Drosophila melanogaster: one gene and its partners. The protein of the gene in region 2 interacts with the protein of the main gene of each other region in a pairwise test. Each region holds a gene or a part of one and is shown on either strand. Other genes may lie near its edges.

Region 1 (4,863 bases), on a different chromosome or scaffold from region 2:
CAATTTCAGAGCCTCGAGTCTCTAGTTGAACAAACAAAAAAGGAAACTAAGCTAAACAAAACATTTCTCTTTCCCAGCTGGCCGAATATTTTTTTAGCTTCGTTGCCGTTTGGTGGAGTTTTCAATTGGTCACAACATCGCAGCTTGTTGTTGCGCATTAAGTTGTTGCTACAGGAACAGAGGACCTTCACATAGCTTGCAGCTGAGGAAATGTTTTAGCATTTCACACTGGCCTGGTATAAATCACAGATCCCGATGTTATTAGGCATCCAATTCCCGTTTCCAATGTCCACGACATGAAACTGTTGCCTCTGCTGTAGGTTTATTGAATTCGTTGATAATGCCAAGGGCAGTGTGGTGGTACACTGCGGAGGGAGAGCTTTCCTTTTCGGGACAATAAATCTCCTGTTTCCAGAGCTTAGTTCAAACAATTTCTAGCGCATTTAAATCTTGTACAAAGCCAATGCCCTGTTGCGGTGGAAGCGGGTTCTCTAACTATGTTTCAATGTTCTCGGCAGTACAGTGCCAGATTATTTGATTTACTCACCTGAAACCACAATTAGTGCAAAAACAAGTTCCTTTTCTTGTTCAGGTTTAGTTACTCAAAATGTCTGAAGGATTTGTTTAAATGGGCATTAATCTACGACTCCTTTAAGATTTCGCATGCCACAGCAATTTAAAAAAGGGGTTCGGATCTGAAGGAAATAATCTGATGGAAAGAACACATTTTTCTCCGTTTTGTGCTTAGAATCGGCATTGATGGCAGAATGGCAATCTGGAAAATGACAACAATAAGGGTTGGCCCAGCCTAACGTACTTTACCTTTTGGCTGGCGGCATTTTGCTTATTTTCGTTTCCCTCAATTGCTGCCCAGTCTGCGGACGAAGTTCCCTGAAATGCAATTTTGTAGCGAGAAAATCCGATAAAAAATTTCTTCAGCCTTCAGAGATGGCGGCATTCTCTATGCGTCTGATCTGAGCAATTAATGGGCACAAAGAAGCAAATGTGGATTCGAATATTGTTAACAGAATATAACCCCAATCTTGAACTGCTTTCAAGCAGTTATGCAAAAAAAAAAAAGACCAAAAAACATCGATTCCCCCTGTCAGTCTCTATGTTATCCTTGGCTTTTTGAAACGTCTAAGAATATGATGACGTGCCGTCACCAAACCGCACTCTTTATATATGCACACATTCAGCGTAATTTTTATTCACATCCAATAGATTTAAGTATCCAGGGCTTGGGTGGCTCCATCACTTCGTGAACAGCAGCACATTTATGCACAGTTCAAAGACCAAAATGAATATTTTATTTGATTTGATTCCAGGCGGGCTGACTGCTGAGCTTGGCTGCAAGAAAAGCATTTTCGAGCGCTCAAGCTCTGGTATAATAAACTCCAGGGATAGGGCCAATTGTCTGCCGCCTTGGAATTGCGCGGATTCGCCGCTTGTCGGATAGAATATGTAGATGTGCGTGGGAATGCCTGTGGAAACGTCTTAAATGCTCTAATGCCCACAACGAAACCTTGCTCAACGCTGCAGGCATGCCTTCTCAAAAATACCTCCAAAGAAAGAGATCAATCTAATAATCTGATTAGTTGGTGCAGCGCTTATATTTCTATTGAACGGCCGAAGATTCTATCTTAAGGGACCAAGCCCCCACTTATCCCTGAAGCTGATTGATCAGGCGACGCTGCCTCACCAGCAGCTGCTCCATCCTGCGCCTCCTCTTTTCCTGGCGCTGTCTCCGCTCCTGGCGACGACGGCGCTCACGAGCCAGGCGACGACGGCGAGCACGTCTGCGCCTCCTGGCCTCCGCCGAGGAGGAGGAAGAGGAGGCAGTGGTCGTGGTGGATGCGGAGGAGGCAGTGGTGGTAGTGGTGGTGGCGGATGAAGCCGTGGTAGTGGTGGCAGAGGAGTCGGTGGATGTGGTCGCCGTCGAGGATGTAGATGTGCTGCTACTGCCCTCCTGAGCCAGGAGCAGACACAGGAGCACGCTGAGAAGTAGAGCGAATAGGAAGCGCATTTTGTTGTGTCTAATCTAATCTAATCAGACGGCCTTTTATACTCAATACGGGGTAACAATTAAACAAATATCATGTATCGGAAATCGGAAATGTGTGCACAGCCTATCCAGCTCGTCAATGTCTTGGGCTTGTAAGGTCAACAGAGTAAAAGAGTCGATCGATATATTATTGATAGTGAGCCGGGTTTAACTCGTTGAAAACGAGATAAAAAGGTAATATTATAACGCTTCTTACGCCTAATTATGTATGGCGACCACGTCACGTCTGAAGGAAATATTTGGTATAACCTATTTATGTACATTCACATCTTATCTGAGTAAAAATCGCAGCACTTGACGAGTTAAAGGTGTTTTATTTGTTCTTCATTTGAGCTTTGCGTACCCAATTAACAGTTTTGTGCTGTTGCATTTTGGCTTATATCCATTTAAGTTCTCCGAAATTAGAGATTTATTTTCCAAAAAAACAAATACGTGGTTTACATTATTTTTAAACCAAACACAACAAAGATGTGTATAATTATATTAATTTTATACCAGTTACCGATTTCAAAATTCGTCTCGATTTGAAACAGGCTACTCCTGGAATGAGACTAAACTAGATTTGTTGAAAAGTATGTAACAGGCGTTTCCGACCCTATTAATTATACATATGTATATGCTTGATCACTATTACTCCGTCTGTCCGAACGAATGTCTCGACCTCAGCAACTCTAAAAGCTAGAGAGTTGAGAACGTTGAACTCCCTCAAGCCGCTTAAATATGCCACTCCCACACGTTTTTGTGCTCCAATAAAGTAGAATTATCAGAATGTACAATCAAATGTTTTATTATCTTGGCGAACTTGAACAATGAAAGAATTTAGCTTTCACATATTTACAACAGCTTTTCCTAAATTGTCATAAGCCGAGTCTTTCCGAAGACCTTCATCCGCTCAGCTGGTTGATCTGTCGACGTTGATTCTCCAGTTGCTGGCGCAGCCTCTGAGTCCTGCGCTGCCTTCTGCGCTCCCTTCGTTGCCTCTCACGCGCCAGACGACGGCGACGGGCGCGCCTGCGCCTCCTGGCCTCCGCAGAGGAAGAGGATGAGGAGGAGGCAGTGGTCGTGGTGGATGCGGAAGAGGCAGTGGTGGTAGTGGTGGCGGACGAAGCCGTGGTAGTGGTGGCAGAGGAGTCGGTGGTTGTGGTCGTCGTCGAGGATGTAGATGTGCTGCTACTGCCCTCCTGGCTAAGCAGGAGGCATCCTAGGACGGAAAGAACAATTACGATCGAGAAGCGCATGCTGAATGTCTTTGACGCATTTGAGACGTTACGCATGTTTTTATAGCAAATTTGAATAATGGTGGTTTACCAAAAGCGTGTAAGCTAATAGGTCTGCTGGATTGTTAGCTTTAACTAAGGTAAATTTTGGTAATGTTTATTCAGATTGAGAAATTATGTGTGCCGCCATATAGTTTAAACGTTGCTCTTGAGTCTTAACACACATAATAATGTAATAGATTTACGGTAATGAGCGCGTTTCTCAACCAAGTTTCCGGGTTCAACATCATATAAATAGGCTATTCTCCAAATCATAAGATATAACTGCTTAGAATGCGATTCATATTTGTTCTGCTCTTGGCCCTTCTCGGCTGCCTCCTGTTTGCCCAGCAGGGCTGCGAAGCTACGGGAACGAGCACTGAAAGCTCCTCGGATAGTACCAGCGCCTCGGACACCTCCACTACCGCGTCCTCTTCCTCCGACACAACTGAAGCCTCAACGTCTTCCGACACCACCACAGTGGCCTCGTCTGCCACGACTACCACCACTTCTTCGTCCTCGTCCTCGTCGTCGTCCTCCAGCGCGGCCGCCCGTCGTCGCAGGGCCGCCGCCCGTCGTCGTCGCTTGGCCCGCCAACGGCGCAGGCGCCAACAGCGCCAAAGGCGCCAACAGCGCCAAAGGCGCCGCCGCCAACAGCAGCGCAGAAGACGCCAGCAAAGGCAGCGCAGTGGATAGACGATTGCTACAGTCGAAGAGGAGGCTGCTGCAGCTAGAAACCTGTCGAGTCAGACAGCTAATACAAGCCAAAGATTGATGTTTTAACTAAATTGCAGTTGCGTTGCTGTGGGATATTCCGTTTTTTAAAAATAAAGAAAATTTTAAAAAATAAATTATTTATATTTACAACTTAGAGGGGGTCTCTTACCTCAATGGGAATTTCTGAAATGGAGTTGTTTGTTTTTTCAGTCTGTTCAAGCTTTCTGTTCTGGCAAAACTAAGTAAAGTATGTCTGCTTTCTCAATTGATGATTGTGTCGTGTCTAATTATTAACTCAAATGCACTATAATCTTAGAGACCATGTTACGTTTTTCAAATTATTATTATTTGCCAAAGATAATACGGACTTAAAATCACGAAAACGTGCTAAGATGGCAAAGCACGAAATTGTAAACTAAATTGTCGCTATCAAATAAGTTGACTATCCACAAAAGGATTATAGATCCTTGGGGCTTGGCTTGTGAAAACCAACTCAATAGGATCCAGGTTATCCAGAATAGGGCTGCGAAATTGGTCACTGGTTGTGTATATGTGTATTTCATTAAATAAACCAGCACTCGAGTCTCTACTATGAAAGGCTAAGGCACCACAGGAATAGTCTGGCAAATACCCTGTATAGTACACGCCCACCAATGAGGCTTAATAGAAGGCAACCGAAAGACCTCATTCTTCGATCTCCTTCAAGGAGGGCCAGTAGACCCTGTCCTTTATACAACTGTTATTGTCCCTTTTTGTTTTTTAGATTTTAGATACAGATAACTTTAGTAAGCTAAATTAATAGCTTCCATGGTTCCAAAGGGGGAG
Region 2 (8,646 bases):
AATAGTACAAACTACTTAGAGACGCTTTAAAAACTTTCCTAAAACTTTGCTTGCTGCATTGAAATTTGTAATCCTATAGGCGCTACAACTGTGACTTCGATCTCATCAATTATTAACTATTTAAAAACATGTTTGACTATTTTCTCTTTTGTTTCAAATGAGTTAATATGCGTTGTTATAGCCACCAACACATTAGGCAATCGACAATTACTAAGCATGCATATAATGGAGACAGCTATAGACCCATAAACCAGATAGCCCGTCGAAATGAAGATGAATATGCTCTTGTCGGTATTCCAAAAGTTTCAAATTGGTGGCCCATCCAGTTTTGGCCATATGTCCCACGGTCCAGCTCCAGACTCTATAAAACCAAGGTGTGCGGGTCGAGCGCCGCTTATAATCTCGCCGGTCTTCGAGTCTTCAGCATCTTCGAATAGTTTTGTGATTTGTGAACGCGGAAGGTGTTTTGAACATATCATTCCCAGATATCCATAAAAGGTGATTAAGTCGATCTTTTCAACATATTGTGTCGTGTGTGTTGTTATTTTTCGATTCATAATGGTCCGTCGAAGACAAGAGAACTGCAATTGCTTACATTCGACTCGAAATTTGATTTTAAACAGGGGAATCCATCGCCTTTCACCGGGCACAGCATGTGATCAGTATTTTATGGCAACGAAAGTGAAATCTTAGCCTGCGGTTGCCTAATCTAGATTTGATTTTGATTTATTTGGGCCCTCGATGGAGCCAATTTGGGAGCTGAGGAAATAAAAGGAGAGACGAAGCCGCGAAATCATTCATACATTTCGAAATTCATCCGAATCGAATGCTTGCACTAATGTAATTATGCTAAGCATATGCAAATTAGCTCATTCACCCAGTAATTATTCACGTCTCATCGGTGATCGAATTCGTAAAACAGACCGGAAATACGAACAGCGAATGCTCTGCTAGTTTCAAAAGTCTATTTAATTTGGTAAGATCGAATAAAGTTGAGAAATTAAGACAGCGCATGATTAATTACCCATTAACGCGATTGCTGACAGAAGCGGATAGTCAGCGTGATAGAAAAAACCAATAATAATTAGTTTTTTATTCGTTTAATCGATCATTATGTTTTTGATTGTCTTAGAAACAATGTTGATTTCTGCATAGGCGATCATTAAACGGTTTAGTTTCTTCAAAACCAAGCTTGTTAAACAAACAATTTATTAGTTTCTTTGTTTTATTTTGGTTTTGCCAAACATTGTACTTACTCAAATTACTCAAAAAGACATAACATCATTTCTTATGTCAATGAAGACACTCCACTGAATATTTACCAATAAAAAGTATCTACTGGATAAACATTTTAATATCGAATAAACGCATAGATTTTGAGTGTGGCCTGTTTTCAAATTGTGCAGATTTTCTAGGAAGCAACGTTGCTTTTAATATGTCCATAAATAAATATTTATAGCGGCTCCACTTATAGGAAACTTCACGATCTGCACGGCAGGTTGGTTCGATTGGAGGTGAATGAACGGGTCGAGTTGCGGCCAAGTGATTAACGTTGACAGATAGATGTGGCAAGAAAAGGGGCATGAAAAGGGGTCGCGGGATGCGATGAGATGGGATGGGATGGTGTAACTATGTATTGGCCAAGTGGTTACCTAACGCTTTCCACTCGCTCTGCTGTCCACCGTTCCAGATGCGGATGTGCTCAACGATGTGGCTGCAGATGACGCTGGGACTGGCCCTGCTGGGTGCTGTGTCATTGCAGCAACTGCAGTCGTTTCCCAAGCTCTGCGATGTGCAAAACTTCGACGACTTCCTCCGGCAGACGGGCAAGGTGTACTCGGATGAGGAGCGAGTCTATCGCGAGAGCATCTTCGCGGCCAAGATGTCGCTGATCACGCTGAGCAATAAGAACGCCGACAACGGCGTGTCCGGATTCCGGCTGGGCGTCAATACGCTGGCCGACATGACCAGAAAGGAGATAGCCACCTTGCTGGGCTCCAAAATCTCCGAATTTGGCGAGTAAGTAGCACCATCTTACGCATATCTAGAGCTCGGGGGAAGTCCCCTTTTTGGCCATAAACGAATTATCACCCAGCTTATAACTTTCAAACGGGTTTCGGTATCGTCGTCCATATGATTTGTAACGTTACGTAGGTGCCGATTGGTTTCCCGGTTATGCTAATCAAGAAATCAGAATTGATCAAATATTCCGACCATAGGTTTGTGGTTTCCCGAAAACTATAACCAAATGGGTGGAAACAAACAAAACCCTTCCATATCGAACTTATTTATTACGACGAAGCTCCATAACAAATGTTTCATAACTTATCGGTTGTTTGTCATACATTTAAGAACATTATGAATAACATTTAAATGTAGTCTGGTTGCCACTTAAGTAAGCTACTAATTTGCTTTAATCTTTGCTTAACGGAATACTAAAATGTTTTACTTACCTTGCAGGAGATATACGAATGGCCATATCAACTTTGTGACTGCCAGGAATCCGGCGAGTGCCAATCTTCCCGAGATGTTCGATTGGCGCGAGAAGGGCGGAGTGACGCCACCGGGATTCCAGGGTGTGGGATGCGGTGCCTGCTGGTCGTTCGCCACCACAGGAGCGCTCGAAGGACATCTATTCCGGCGGACTGGAGTGCTGGCCTCGCTGTCGCAGCAGAATCTGGTGGACTGTGCCGATGACTACGGCAACATGGGCTGTGACGGTGGCTTCCAGGAGTACGGTTTCGAGTACATACGCGATCACGGTGTAACGCTGGCCAACAAATATCCGTACACACAGACGGAGATGCAGTGCCGTCAGAACGAAACCGCCGGACGTCCACCGCGCGAGAGTCTGGTGAAAATTCGCGATTATGCCACCATTACTCCCGGGGATGAGGAGAAGATGAAGGAGGTGATTGCCACGTTGGGACCGTTGGCGTGCTCCATGAACGCGGACACCATTTCGTTTGAGCAGTACAGCGGTGGCATCTACGAGGACGAGGAGTGCAATCAGGGCGAACTGAATCACTCGGTAACCGTGGTGGGCTATGGAACGGAAAATGGACGCGACTACTGGATCATCAAGAACTCGTACTCTCAGAATTGGGGCGAGGGCGGCTTTATGCGCATCCTCCGGAATGCAGGTGGATTCTGCGGCATCGCCAGCGAGTGCAGCTACCCCATTCTGTAGGCTCACAACTGCGCCATGCAATTAGTTAGATAGTATAGTCAATTAAAAACCACGAATTTATAACTTTGTTACTGTAGTCGTAAGCTGTGTGGGTCACCACATCGATTCCATGAGTCACGCGGTTAATAAATGAAACAAGTGCCTTATCGGTTTGTGTTGCTTTCTGGGGAAATTCTGAGAAATTGGATCGTAGTCTTAACGGCTATGCACACAAAAATTAATTTTCGGTCTTATTTATTTTTTGAGAAACATTTTCTTAATGAAGAACAACGCTGTGTGGGAAGTTGTTTGAGAAAGTAATAAATTTCAATTTGGCAAAGTGGATAGAAAATGAACAATGCACACATAACCGTATAACCGTGTAAATTTGCGACAAATTTAATATAAACAAGAAATAACGCTACAGTCGGGTGTCACGACTAATGCATACCCGTTAATCAGAAAAAGCTGCAAGCAGCGTAACGTTTGTTTACAGCATTTGTGTGGAAAACACATACATATCTAGAATGTAGTTGTTACATTCCTATCAACGAGCCTAGTATTCCCGCCGAGTAATGGGTATAAAAACGGGGCTTAAATTTCAAATTAATTTAATTCAATACTATTGCAACAAATCATAAAGCAATTATGCCAGTTGTTATATATTTGGTGGGCAAGGTCACGTAAATGCAGTTACTCTTTTAAAAGATCAACACTTAAGAGAAAAGAGAGCAAAAGAAATCGCTCTCGTTGTCGGTTTTTATTTAGATTTCTCTCTGAATGCAGCTGATTTTGAGTACTTGCAATTATATATGTATGTATTCCCCATATAATTCGCGATTCTGGCAGTGCGGAGCGCAGTACGAGAAAAGTGTTCAAGATGACCTCAGCTCGAATTTTACTTGGCGTCCCACTGCTCCTGTATTTGATGGGCGTGGCTCTGGGCGTACCAGTAAGCACATCATCACCTGCTACACAAAAAATCAATCCAGAGATTGGGGTTACTACTGGGAAAAGCGACGCTGACTCATCGACACCCACAATTGAACACACCTCTGGCTTATCTGAGTTCGAGGAGGAATGCCAGTTTGCATGGCAAAGGTTCTTGGTAAGTTTTTTGATCGCATAATTCCAAGAAAGGGTATCGTTCAAGGAAGTTATTTGTATACACTCCAAGGTCGACTTTGATGTACACTACGATAATGACTACGAACGGCAAAAGCGACGTGATATATTCTGCGAAAATTGGCAAAAAGTTCGCGATCACAATTTGAAATACGATTTGGGAGTTGTCAGCTTCAAGAAGGGTATCAACCAGTGGAGTGATCTTACCTTTGAAGAGTGGAAAGAGAAACAAACTCCCAAAGTTATGCCAGAAATCGCTAGTGAATCATCAAAGGAGGAGCGAGACAAAGTCAATTGCCAGGCTGCATGGGAAAAGTTTTTGGTAAGATTAGCTAGGTTATTAAAACCAACTTGGTATTAATATGTATGATATGAATTACAGATTGACTTTGGAGCGCAGTATAAGAATGCAAATGAAACCGAGAAACGCCGCAATGTATTTTGTGCAAACTGGAGGGCGATTGTGGAGCACAATGTGCAGTATGAAAAGTGGGCAGAGCCCTTCAAGAGGGACATAAATCAGTGGACTGATCATACTATTGAGGAACGATCTAGTCCTGCTCCCGAGATTCGTAAGGAAGAAGCCACTACATCTACATCCGAAATAGATAATGATAATATCATATGCCAGCCGGCTTGGGAGAAGTTCCTGGTAAGATATGGTTGGGTATTTAAAGAATTTTTATTAAAGTTGCTTTTATCAATTGCAGATTGACTTTAAGCCGTCTTATCAAGATGATACTGAAACCGAAAAGCGACGAAATGTATTTTGCGACAACTTTAAGTCGATACATAAGCACAATGTTCAATTCGATTTGGGAAATATTTCTTTTAAGAAGGGTATAAATCAGTGGAGTGATTTGACCGTTGAGGAGTGGAAAAACAAACAACGACCTGCTTTTAATCCAGAGTTTTCTAAAGTTGAAGCTACTACAAAAATATCTAAGGATAAGAGGGATGATAATACATGTCAGGCAGCATGGAAAAAGTTTTTGGTAATATTTGGCTTGCAATGTAAATAGAATTTGAGAATTTGAATGAATATATCTTTATTACAGATTGATTTCGGTGCGAAATATCAAGATGAAAAAGAAACAGAAAAACGCCGAACTATATTTTGCGACAATTGGAAAGCGATTCAGGAACACAATGAGCAGTTCGAATTGGGAGTGGAATCTTTCAAGAAGGGCATAAATCAGTGGAGTGATCTAACTGTAGAAGAGTGGAAAACCAAACAACGACCTAATTTAGCTCCAGAGTTTTCAAAAGAAGAAACGACTACAAAAATAAGCAAGGAGAAGAAATACAAAAAAAATGTTTTTTAAAAACTAGATGATAAGATATTGTACCGAGTACATTTTCAGATGAAATGTTTGTCACCTTTTAAATACACGCAAAAATATTGCTACTAACGCAAAGAGAATACCTTAGTGATTTTGGGTTAATTTTTAAAAATATGTATTTATTATTATTTCTTGAGGGGCTGTCCAGTTGAGAATCTTGCTTGAGGAGTTTATCTATTACAATAGTGTTTCGCAAATGTTCAAGCCGATTTTATGGCTGGGTTCGCTATTTAAATCGATCATTAAGTTTTAAATGAGTAAATTTTGTTTTATGTTTCTTTCACTACCTTTTTGTTTTATAACGCACACGAACTCTAAATGATTAATTTATACTTGTATATTTGCTGAGATCCCTATCTCCTTGTTGCATTTAACAGGGCGCATTATTCGTATTACACATACAATCCGTAAATATATATAATATATATGTATATAGTATTTAATTTAACAAATACATTTGTAGGTTATCGCAAGTTGCTGCACTAAGTGAACGTTTTTATGTAATCAATATGTTTACATTCATTGATATCTGAGTACATCGAAGTGGACAACACACCGCTTCTTTACAATGCATAATGGGTATTGTTGGGGCATTTATAGTTACTATACAAATCTTTTGGTAGGAAGGGGGTGGCAACAGTAAGCCTTGAACAAGCCCTATACCATTTCATATCTTCAGCGTGTTTTTGCGAACCATAACTAGAAATATTCCTGCAGTAATCTCCCGAGTACTGAATCCCTCACAACAATTCTACGGTTATTGAATCTCTTATGGTTTAGAATTTACATATTGTTTGGCGTTTATTGTAAGTGGTTGCATTTGCTGCTCATCTAACCAAGCATCGACCCTGGCCACAGGTTCTATATTTGTTGGGTAAATCTCAGATGGTAAATTGGATATGTGGCTTGAGCAGTGTGGTTCGTACATATGTATGTCCTTCAGGTGGCCGAATCGCATCAACTATTTGCATCAACTATTTGCACTGCACGTGTGTAAATTTATCTAAAAAAACATCATGTTTTCCTCTGTCTCGAGCTATTGCCATTGCTAACAAGCTGATCATCGGGGGGACCAGGGTCTGGCACCAAAACAAATCAATTCAAATCAATTCAAATGGTACGTACACGTAAACACTAAATAACTAACAACGTTGAAAGCGCGGTCTGCATGTATACATATGGGATATATAACTAGTTGTATATCTGTATAATATATATATATATATATATATATATATATATTGCAACAAATTTCCACTACAAAAAACTGCACACTCAACTTAAAGGGCTAGCTTACGAGTTATTCAAACTACTCCTTATCCGAACCATCCCATCTCATCCCATCCGATCTCATATCGGATCGGATCGGTTTGGATATATCCCTTGACTCTTCCAATAGCTAAAGCCAGTGCTTGGATTGGTTTCAGCTGCTTTTGCTGCCTGCTTGTTGCATCAAGTGTTATTGTTTTGGTTACTCTTGTTATATGTTCGACATCGGTGTATATGGTTAAAGCCAACTTGTGTGTTGTAGCTGTTTAGTCGTGTAAATCCTTGCCAGTTGCACTACAAAATCGAAGTGAGTGTGTGCGGACAACGGAGGAGCAAGTGTGGTAATTCCTTAATAGGTGGGCTGCTGGTACTCCATTCCGGATTGTTGCTGCTCCATGCCACCTGCGGGAGAAAAACTCAGATTAATCAGGTGCCAAGTGTGGGAGAATCATCAGATTACATATTATAATGGTTAACATCAGTTAAGAACTAAGAATGATTAGGTACTTTCAATATATTGTACATAATGATCTAGGAATGGCAAGTTTATATCCCATCTTATATCCCAACTTATACTTTGGCATTGTATTAGACCATGAACTTACCCTGCTGGGGCTGGCCAAATGGTGAGGCGCTGTACTGGTCGTTGTCGTTGTCCATGGAGTAGCCGTAGGCCTGCTGGTGGACCACGTTGGCGGGATCCGTTTCGAAGGCAGAGGTGAACTCATCGCCGGCGCCGATCAGGAAACGCTTGTAAGCCATCAGGGCGCACAGAGCCTGCAGAAAGAAGCCCAAAAATCAGGAAACTTCTCCAACCAAATATGCAGAAATCTACTAACCCAGCTGACAATCGAGAAGAGGCAGAACCAAATGGCGGTCTTCATGCTGCCAGCTCCGATTCCCAGCGGCGGTGGGGCGGATGAGCTCCATTGCGACCACAAGTACAAGAAGGCCACGAAGTACATGAATGTCCAGAGGGCTGCGACGATGGATTGCCATTAGTTATGTGCTGTCAGAGGAATATATGCATATTTGGCCAGAACTACTTACCCGAGAAACCCATGTCGGCCATGACATAACGCTTTCTGCTCTTCACCGACGACATCCGTTCGAACAGGAACTCGCCACCCATGAAACCCATGGAGGCCAGGAACCCGAAGACGCCCACCATGTTGCCATACTTGCAGGCCATGCCGTCGCCATTATAGAGGCAGTACTCCTTGCCATCCTTCTCCGTCCAACCCTCCGAGGATATGCAGCCAAAGACCACCACCGAGAAGAGCTGGAAAAATCAAGAGAATTCCCAATGAATGAGGGCGCCTATTAACATTTAATGGTCCTTTTGTATGCACACAGAAATGTTGAAGAGCTGAAAATGACTCAAAGTGCCATTAAATCAACTATAAAGCTGACCTGTTTTAAAAATTTTAATTTTATCGTTTCAGTTTAATTTCAATCACTTTTGTGTGTTGTGAATGAAAGTACCAGAACGTTGTTATAAAAGTATGAACATCAAAGCTTGTGAACATCCTTTTTACGTGATTGTAGGTTCGAGTTTACTAACACTTTCTGCTGGCTAAGCTCTTACTTAGGTTTTTAATCCAACTTTCGGATTTTGATTTTCACATCATCATTTTCTTATGCTGATATAGAACTCGCACTCCATTATTGATTTTCTTGAGCAGGTGCAACAAACCAGAAGTTCAAGTACACAGACAACGCGGCAGACACGTACTTATG
Region 3 (6,534 bases), on a different chromosome or scaffold from region 2:
TGCCTTTAATTCAGTACATAGTATACGAAGGACTTTTCATCTTATACATACATGTATATATATTGATAGTTCCTGGATCTAGCAAAAGTTTAAAAAGTTGTTACTCGCCCGCGCCGTCGCTTCGATATCCAACAACATCTAAATACAAGTATGTAATAATGTAAGTGTAATTGCAATGGAACGTTTACTTTACTGACTCAATATCCTGATCCCTTCCGCAGGACCTTCGATCAACATCTATGCGACATCTATGCTTTATGCTCATTATGCGGCTATTCTCGTACTTGTCTCACATTTTTTTTAGGTTTTTCGTTTGTTTTTTTTTTTTTGTTTTGTTTTGTTTTTGGTTTTACCTCAGTTTTACAACATTAATTTTAATTACAAAAGTTATTAAATAATACAAAATACAGTTAGAGTTTACAGTTCTCCATTTCGTCTAGAAACATCTCGCTTTTAACTTTTAGTTGAAATTAATGCACGAATAAACAGAATAATTGGATTATGAATTACAGAACACTCGAAACAAACTCAGAACTCGGAAACGAAACAAAAGCAAGAGTTGGGTTGGGTTGGGTTGGGGGAATCCCCCCCTAGCAGCGGAAATTAGTGGCAAAATTGTAACAAAGAAACTACGGATGAGCCATTTAGCCTGGCCACGCTTAGGTTACATAATGGTTTTATAGTTAATAATATTACGTTTAAGCAGAGTCCGTCGGTGGAACACCACCGACCAACTGTCTAACTCTTTTAGAGCAGGGCGCACTTGCGCTTGGACTTGGGCTGCAGCACGGGGCACAAAACCGACCGGATGGCCTCGTCGAAAACGGTTTTCAGACCCTTCTGCGTCAGGGCCGAGCACTCCAGATACTTGACCGCTCCGATTTCCTTGGCCATGGCCAGGCCCTGCGGATAGGTGATGGGCGCCAGTTTCTTGTCCCTCAGCTTTTCGATTGTGTTCTTGTCGTCGCGCAAATCCAGCTTGGTGCCCACCAGGATGATGGGCGTGCTGGGGCAGTGGTGGCGCACCTCCGGATACCACTTGGCCCGCACGTTCTCGAACGATGCCGGATTCACCAGCGAGAAGCAGATGAGGAAGACATCGGTCTGGGGATAAGACAGTGGCCTCAGTCGGTCGTAGTCCTCCTGCCCGGCCGTATCCCACAGGCCCAGGTTGATGGGCTTGGCGTCCACCATCACGTTGGCCGAGTAGTTGTCGAACACGGTGGGTATGTACTCGCCGGGAAAGGCATTGGTCGTGTAGCTGATCAGCAGGCAGGTCTTTCCCACGGCTCCGTCGCCCACGACGACGCACTTGATCGCCTGCATGGTTCGATTTCCTCGACTTTCTGGACTGGAGTGCTATGTGCCTAGAGATTGGAGATTGAAGATTGCAGATTTCTGATTGCGGGGGTGCTTCTTCTTCAGGCGTTTTTGGTTCTTTTTGGGGCGGCGGCGGAGGACTGTTGCTTGCGTGGGTCCTTTTGCGGGGTTATCTCTGGAAGCGCGACTCCTTTTCCAGTGCCTTGTGGTCCTCGGGGCGACTGATGATCGCGCCTTACGTTCTGGGCCTCTTTAACTCGCGTTTTGTGCGTTAATTTCCCTAATTTTCTCAACAAAAAAAGTAAATTTTCTGTGTACTGCAGTGTGACCGCGGCTGGACTGTTCAAATTTACCATGGGAAAGCTGTAAAATACTAAAACAAATTAAAACTGCATTGAAATGGTCACCCTAAGATTTGTAAATTATTTCAAGGCTTCGTCCTTAAAGCAAACATAAAACCCTTAAGTTTCGCATTTACTTATAATTAAATCCGAATTACAAAATATATAATTTCATTGTCTTCCTGTTTATGTCAGTGATTTGAAGTGAGAACAAGCTGTTTTTAGTAGGGCTGGGCCCCAGAAGTGCAGCTTCTGGGCTTTGGCTGCACCTGGTCACACTTCTGGCAGCAAATAATACAATTTCGAAAATTAGAATTTATTTGCTGCTCAATAGCCAAGTCAATAACACCTGTTCCTTGCCCATCCAGAATGTCTGACGTGTTCATCGTGTCCGCCGCCCGCACGCCCATTGGTAAAACCAAGATAAATCGGCTGCACCATACACGATAACCACATTCTAATTGGAAACTTTCTCTTCGTGTTTGTCCAATCTGAAAAATCAACAGGTAGCTTCAATGGAACGCTTTCTAAACTGAAGGCCTCCGACCTGGGCAGCGTGGTCATCCAGGAGGTACTCCGGCGGGCGAATGTGGAGGGCCAGGAGGTCAACGAAGTCATCTTGGGCCAGGTGGGACCCATATCATAACTGTTTCTCCTCCTATCTTACCGATCTATTTGTTATGTAAATATCTTTGTTAGGCTCTAAGCGCCGGTCAGGGTCAGAATCCAGCACGTCAGGCTTCACTCAAGGCGGGTCTGCCCATTCAGGTGCCAGCCTACGGCATAAACATGCTATGTGGTTCCGGCTTAAAGTGAGTTTGTCCCGTACAATTCCGTACATTTACAATGGTTTTTACCATTTCCAGAACTGTAGCGCTGGGTTACCAGGCCATCCGCTCGGGAGACGCACAGATTGTTGTGGCAGGAGGTCAGGAGAGCATGTCCCTGGCTCCACACGTCATGCATCTGCGGCAGGGCGTCAAAATGGGTCCGGGCACTATGGTGGACTCGATGATCCACGACGGCCTAACCGATGCCATGGAGAACATACACATGGGCATCACTGCCGAGAATCTGGCCGATAAGTATAACATCAGTCGTGAGGCCCAGGATGCCTATGCCGTGCTGTCGCAAAATCGAGCCGAGGAGGCCCAAAAAAAGGGTTACTTCGACAAGGAGATTGTGCCCGTGGAGATCAAGGATCGCAAGGGTACGACCACATTCAGCAAGGATGAGTACATCAAGGCGGGCAGCACCGTCGAGGGTATACAGAAGCTCAGGGCAGCCTTCAAAGAGGTGGGTCTAAGATAAATACAAGAAGAGCGAGAGTTAACCCACTTTCTCTTGCTTATGTAGGGCGGCTCTATAACCGCTGGCAATGCCTCAGGCGTCAACGACTCCGCTGCTGCCGTACTACTGATGTCCGGCGAGGAGGTGGCCAGGAAGGGTCTTAAGCCGCTGGCTAGGATTGTGGGCTGGACTCAGAGTGGCATTGAGCCAAAGGTGATGGGACTGGGACCAGTCACAGCTGTGGAAGCATTGGTAGTTACACGGAAATTCCACTTCTATACATGCTCCTAAGTTTTCACATTTTTCAGCTTCAAAAGATTAACTGGAAGCGTGAGGAAGTGGATCTTTACGAGCTGAACGAAGCATTCGCCGCCCAATCACTGGCTGTCCTGCAGGACCTGCAGCTGGATGCTCAGAAAGTAAATGTCAATGGCGGTGCCATTGCCCTGGGCCACCCGATTGGAGCTTCAGGTGCCCGTGTCTTGGTCACTTTGCTCTATGCGCTGGAGCGCACCGGTGGAAGAAAGGGAATCGCATCGCTCTGCATCGGTGGCGGCATGGGAATCGCCCTGGCCGTGGAGCGCCTCAGCTAGTCTTAATTCATTGTCATTCAAGCTATTTATTGCCTTTTCCTGTTTCCCACTTAAGTGTAAAGTTTATTTCTCTATTCGCGTAGTATTCGCACGTACTTAAAGGCACAACCTCCCAAGTCGCAAAATCTACTCAATTAAAATTCAATTGAAAATACTTGCATTGCAGCATATTTTTAGCTGTTGAAAAGAGGAATTGTATACATTTTTCCAGTTGCGTCAGCTGAAAACTATTTATAAAACAGCATTTGTTATGATGATGCACAACCGATTTATTTGCTTTTGTTTCTGTTTCTACACTAGAAATTATTTGTACATTGTAAATTCAATTAGCTATTAACTGCAAGTCGGAGAGAACAGTATTGGGTCGATTCCTTGCTATTTTAAAATAAGTAAGGGCATTGCATCATTATAAAATAGGTAGGCTGACAAAACTAGTAACTATCCAAATGTAAACTTATACATTTAATTGAGCTAACGCTTGAGTTAAATAGCATTGCTTGAGAACAAGACACCCTCTTTTCCGCTCATTGTCACATGTATCATTTCATATGTAGACTCCGAGCTCTCCGAGTACTTTTCCAGTACCAGTAACAGGTAACTTGTTTAGATCTTCAGCATAAGCATCGCGGTCATCGAAGGTCCCACTGCCCAAAGATCGAAAAAATAAATATAGTATTTACAGAGACACTACTGGCGATTTATAAACACTCTTCGTAATTTCTTATCGTGGAAGTTAGTTATTTATTGTGCCAATAACAATAATATCGGGCATAGTTGTGGCCTTTGGAATAAGACCACGAATCTCGCATTTCGCAAAGGGGAGAGCCCAAAATATAATACAGTAAACATATTACAAAAGTACTAGCTATTGCTGACATGAATTTGTTAAGGGGAACTAAACTAGTTGTAAGTCTAGTGTGGAAAATCTTATTGCTATGGCGTACACTGTAGAGGCTAAATTGAATAATTCAGAATCTCGCGTTTTTATTGCTATTATCAAATACAATTGTTTGTACGTAAGAATTTAAAGAGGCTTCCACTGATAGAAGCCTTATCGGATTTACCGCGCCTCGGAATCGCAGGTCGGTTATTGTCTCTAGGAAGATGATAGCAAGGCGCCTATCCACGCCAGCAGCTCTTCAGCTGCACAGTCTCCAGCTCCTTGGGCAGCCGCGGACTGAAGCCATACGGATTGTGGCAAACGATTCGCTTATCTGGCGCAGTCTGCGCCACTTGCTCCACCGTGGGCACGCACAACTGGGCATAGCTGCTGATGAAGCTGGACCACAGAGTTGGTGTGCAGTCCAGGGCAAAGTATGGTCCCCACAGCTGGGAGTCCAATTCGGCAGCATACGGATATTTACCATCCTCAAGGAGCAGCTCCTCGGCTATGGCCACGGCATCGAAGTCGCGGTGTTTCACCGGTGTGTAAACATCCTGGATTATGTTATCACCGAAGTATAGTGCCTTGGCTTCAGAGGGCTTCTTCTGGAGCATTCCAGCCATGGCAGTGTGCAGCTGGTGCCAGTTGCCTTGCGAGTAGACCTCGCCCGCCTTTATGTTGTCTGCCTCTTGCGGCAGTTCTGCCAGTTTTTCCACATCCACCTGCATGAACGGACGCTGCATGGTAAAGAACCCTGGTTTCTTGGCGTATGTTACCACGAAATCGAAGTATTTGCGCCAATCCTTGCCCAGCGCCTGCGTGGCCGTCAAATTGGCGAAGTCCACGTTGGAGCCGGTGAGCAAAAATAGCTTCTTGCCGGATTTTCGCAGTTCCCCGAGCCAGTTCATCACACTGGGATCTGTTCGGAGCACAAATCGTTCCGGTTCCGCTCGCATGCTCTTGAAATAGAGACTCTGGTCGTTGGCGAAGTTCTCCCGACTGTAGATGTTCATCAGGCCAGCCTGAACATCTTGCCAGACCTGATACTCCTCTCCTGCCGATGGCTTCTTTCCCCTATCGACCAGATCCACCGCCTGGGCAAAGACCAAGGCACTGGGCATATCAAAGTAATCCAATAGCGAGCGCATTTGCGTCGAGGCGTCGCCATTCCAGGTGGACAGGGGGTCCCTGTAGAAGGCAGTGGTGATTTCCCACCTTCGATCTCTTCCATAGATGGCTTGAATTTCTGTGTCGCTTAGTAGACGGGTGCCATGGGTGGCTCGCAGGATCTGGGCCTCACTGCTCAGCTTCAGCACATTGCCACGCGGTCCGTCCAGGAACAGGCCCTTCTGCAGAAAGTCCAAGTTGAGCGATTGAAGGAGTAGATCCCTGTCATAGCCCTTCTGCTCTACGAGGAACTGCTTGAGCACCTGATAGATCAGAGCGGACATCTCGTGGAGATTGTAGCGCAGAAGGGTGCCGTCCAGGTCGAAGCCCACTATTCCATAATCCTTTAGGAGCAGCTCCTTGTGATAGGATGTCATGATGGTGCTGGCCGAATACCTTGAGTTTCCCCCTGCAGATTTGTGGAAGCGCCTAACTGTCTGCTGCTGACCCGTCACTTCTCGTGTTGCTCTTCCCACTGCTGCCGGCGGTGTTCTGACTAACGTCATTGAATTTTGCGCCAATTTATCGAGATTGCGTAACAGGAGACGAACATCTGTTTGGGCCTGTTTGTGTACGTTTGTTTTTGTTTTCGTTTTCGTTTTCGTGGCCAGTCGAAGTGAAAGGGCAGGGGCGGAAAAGGCGCCCACGGTGGCTGCTCTGCCCAGCGCCAGCATCTTATCTTATCAACTAGCACATCTCATTTGTCCGAAGCGTGATCTAAATTTAAAATTAAGCCGAAATTCACTATCACTTAGGTAGTCCTCACAAAATCATTTTTCATCTATAAATGTATGTCTACAACTGCCAGAGCTGCCAACCTTTTGAAGTTGAGCAGTACTGACTTACTTCCTTGGCTTATTCCTAGCTAGATTTAGCTAGGTATAAGCAAGTGTAAGCTATCGGAACTCGATAGCAGCTTAGGTATCGTTGGCGCAATCGA

What was found. Proteins that work in one complex are often made in the same cells at the same time.
Region 1: the proteins of CG6357 (region 2) and CG12546 interact in a two-hybrid assay, tested with the Drosophila melanogaster proteins (one large-scale study listed by BioGRID).
Region 3: the proteins of CG6357 (region 2) and Acat2 interact in a two-hybrid assay, tested with the Drosophila melanogaster proteins (one large-scale study listed by BioGRID).

What each region holds. Positions count from the first base shown.
Region 1 is NT_037436.4:22,690,487-22,695,349, forward strand, and holds CG12546 (uncharacterized protein), read right to left. Parts: upstream 3,327-4,863; 5' UTR 3,304-3,326; coding exon 2,950-3,303; 3' UTR 2,838-2,949; downstream 1-2,837. Other genes in the region: CG14454 (uncharacterized protein), read right to left, coding at 1,664-2,026; CG14453 (uncharacterized protein), read left to right, coding at 3,616-4,017.
Region 2 is NT_033778.4:13,836,029-13,844,674, forward strand, and holds CG6357 (uncharacterized protein), read left to right. Parts: upstream 1-4,024; 5' UTR 4,025-4,049; coding exon 4,050-4,277; intron 4,278-4,346; coding exon 4,347-4,616; intron 4,617-4,676; coding exon 4,677-4,946; intron 4,947-5,004; coding exon 5,005-5,289; intron 5,290-5,352; coding exon 5,353-5,619; 3' UTR 5,620-5,715; downstream 5,716-8,646. Other genes in the region: CtsL2 (cathepsin L2), read left to right, coding at 1,691-2,019, 2,461-3,190; Syngr (synaptogyrin), read right to left, coding at 7,256-7,308, 7,512-7,683, 7,746-7,885, 7,957-8,188.
Region 3 is NT_037436.4:1,301,021-1,307,554, forward strand, and holds Acat2 (Acetyl-CoA acetyltransferase 2), read left to right. Parts: upstream 1-1,923; 5' UTR 1,924-2,030; coding exon 2,031-2,073; intron 2,074-2,167; coding exon 2,168-2,289; intron 2,290-2,360; coding exon 2,361-2,473; intron 2,474-2,527; coding exon 2,528-2,957; intron 2,958-3,017; coding exon 3,018-3,203; intron 3,204-3,259; coding exon 3,260-3,544; 3' UTR 3,545-3,697; downstream 3,698-6,534. Other genes in the region: Rac1, read right to left, coding at 748-1,326; Nt5a (5' nucleotidase A), read right to left, coding at 4,664-6,268.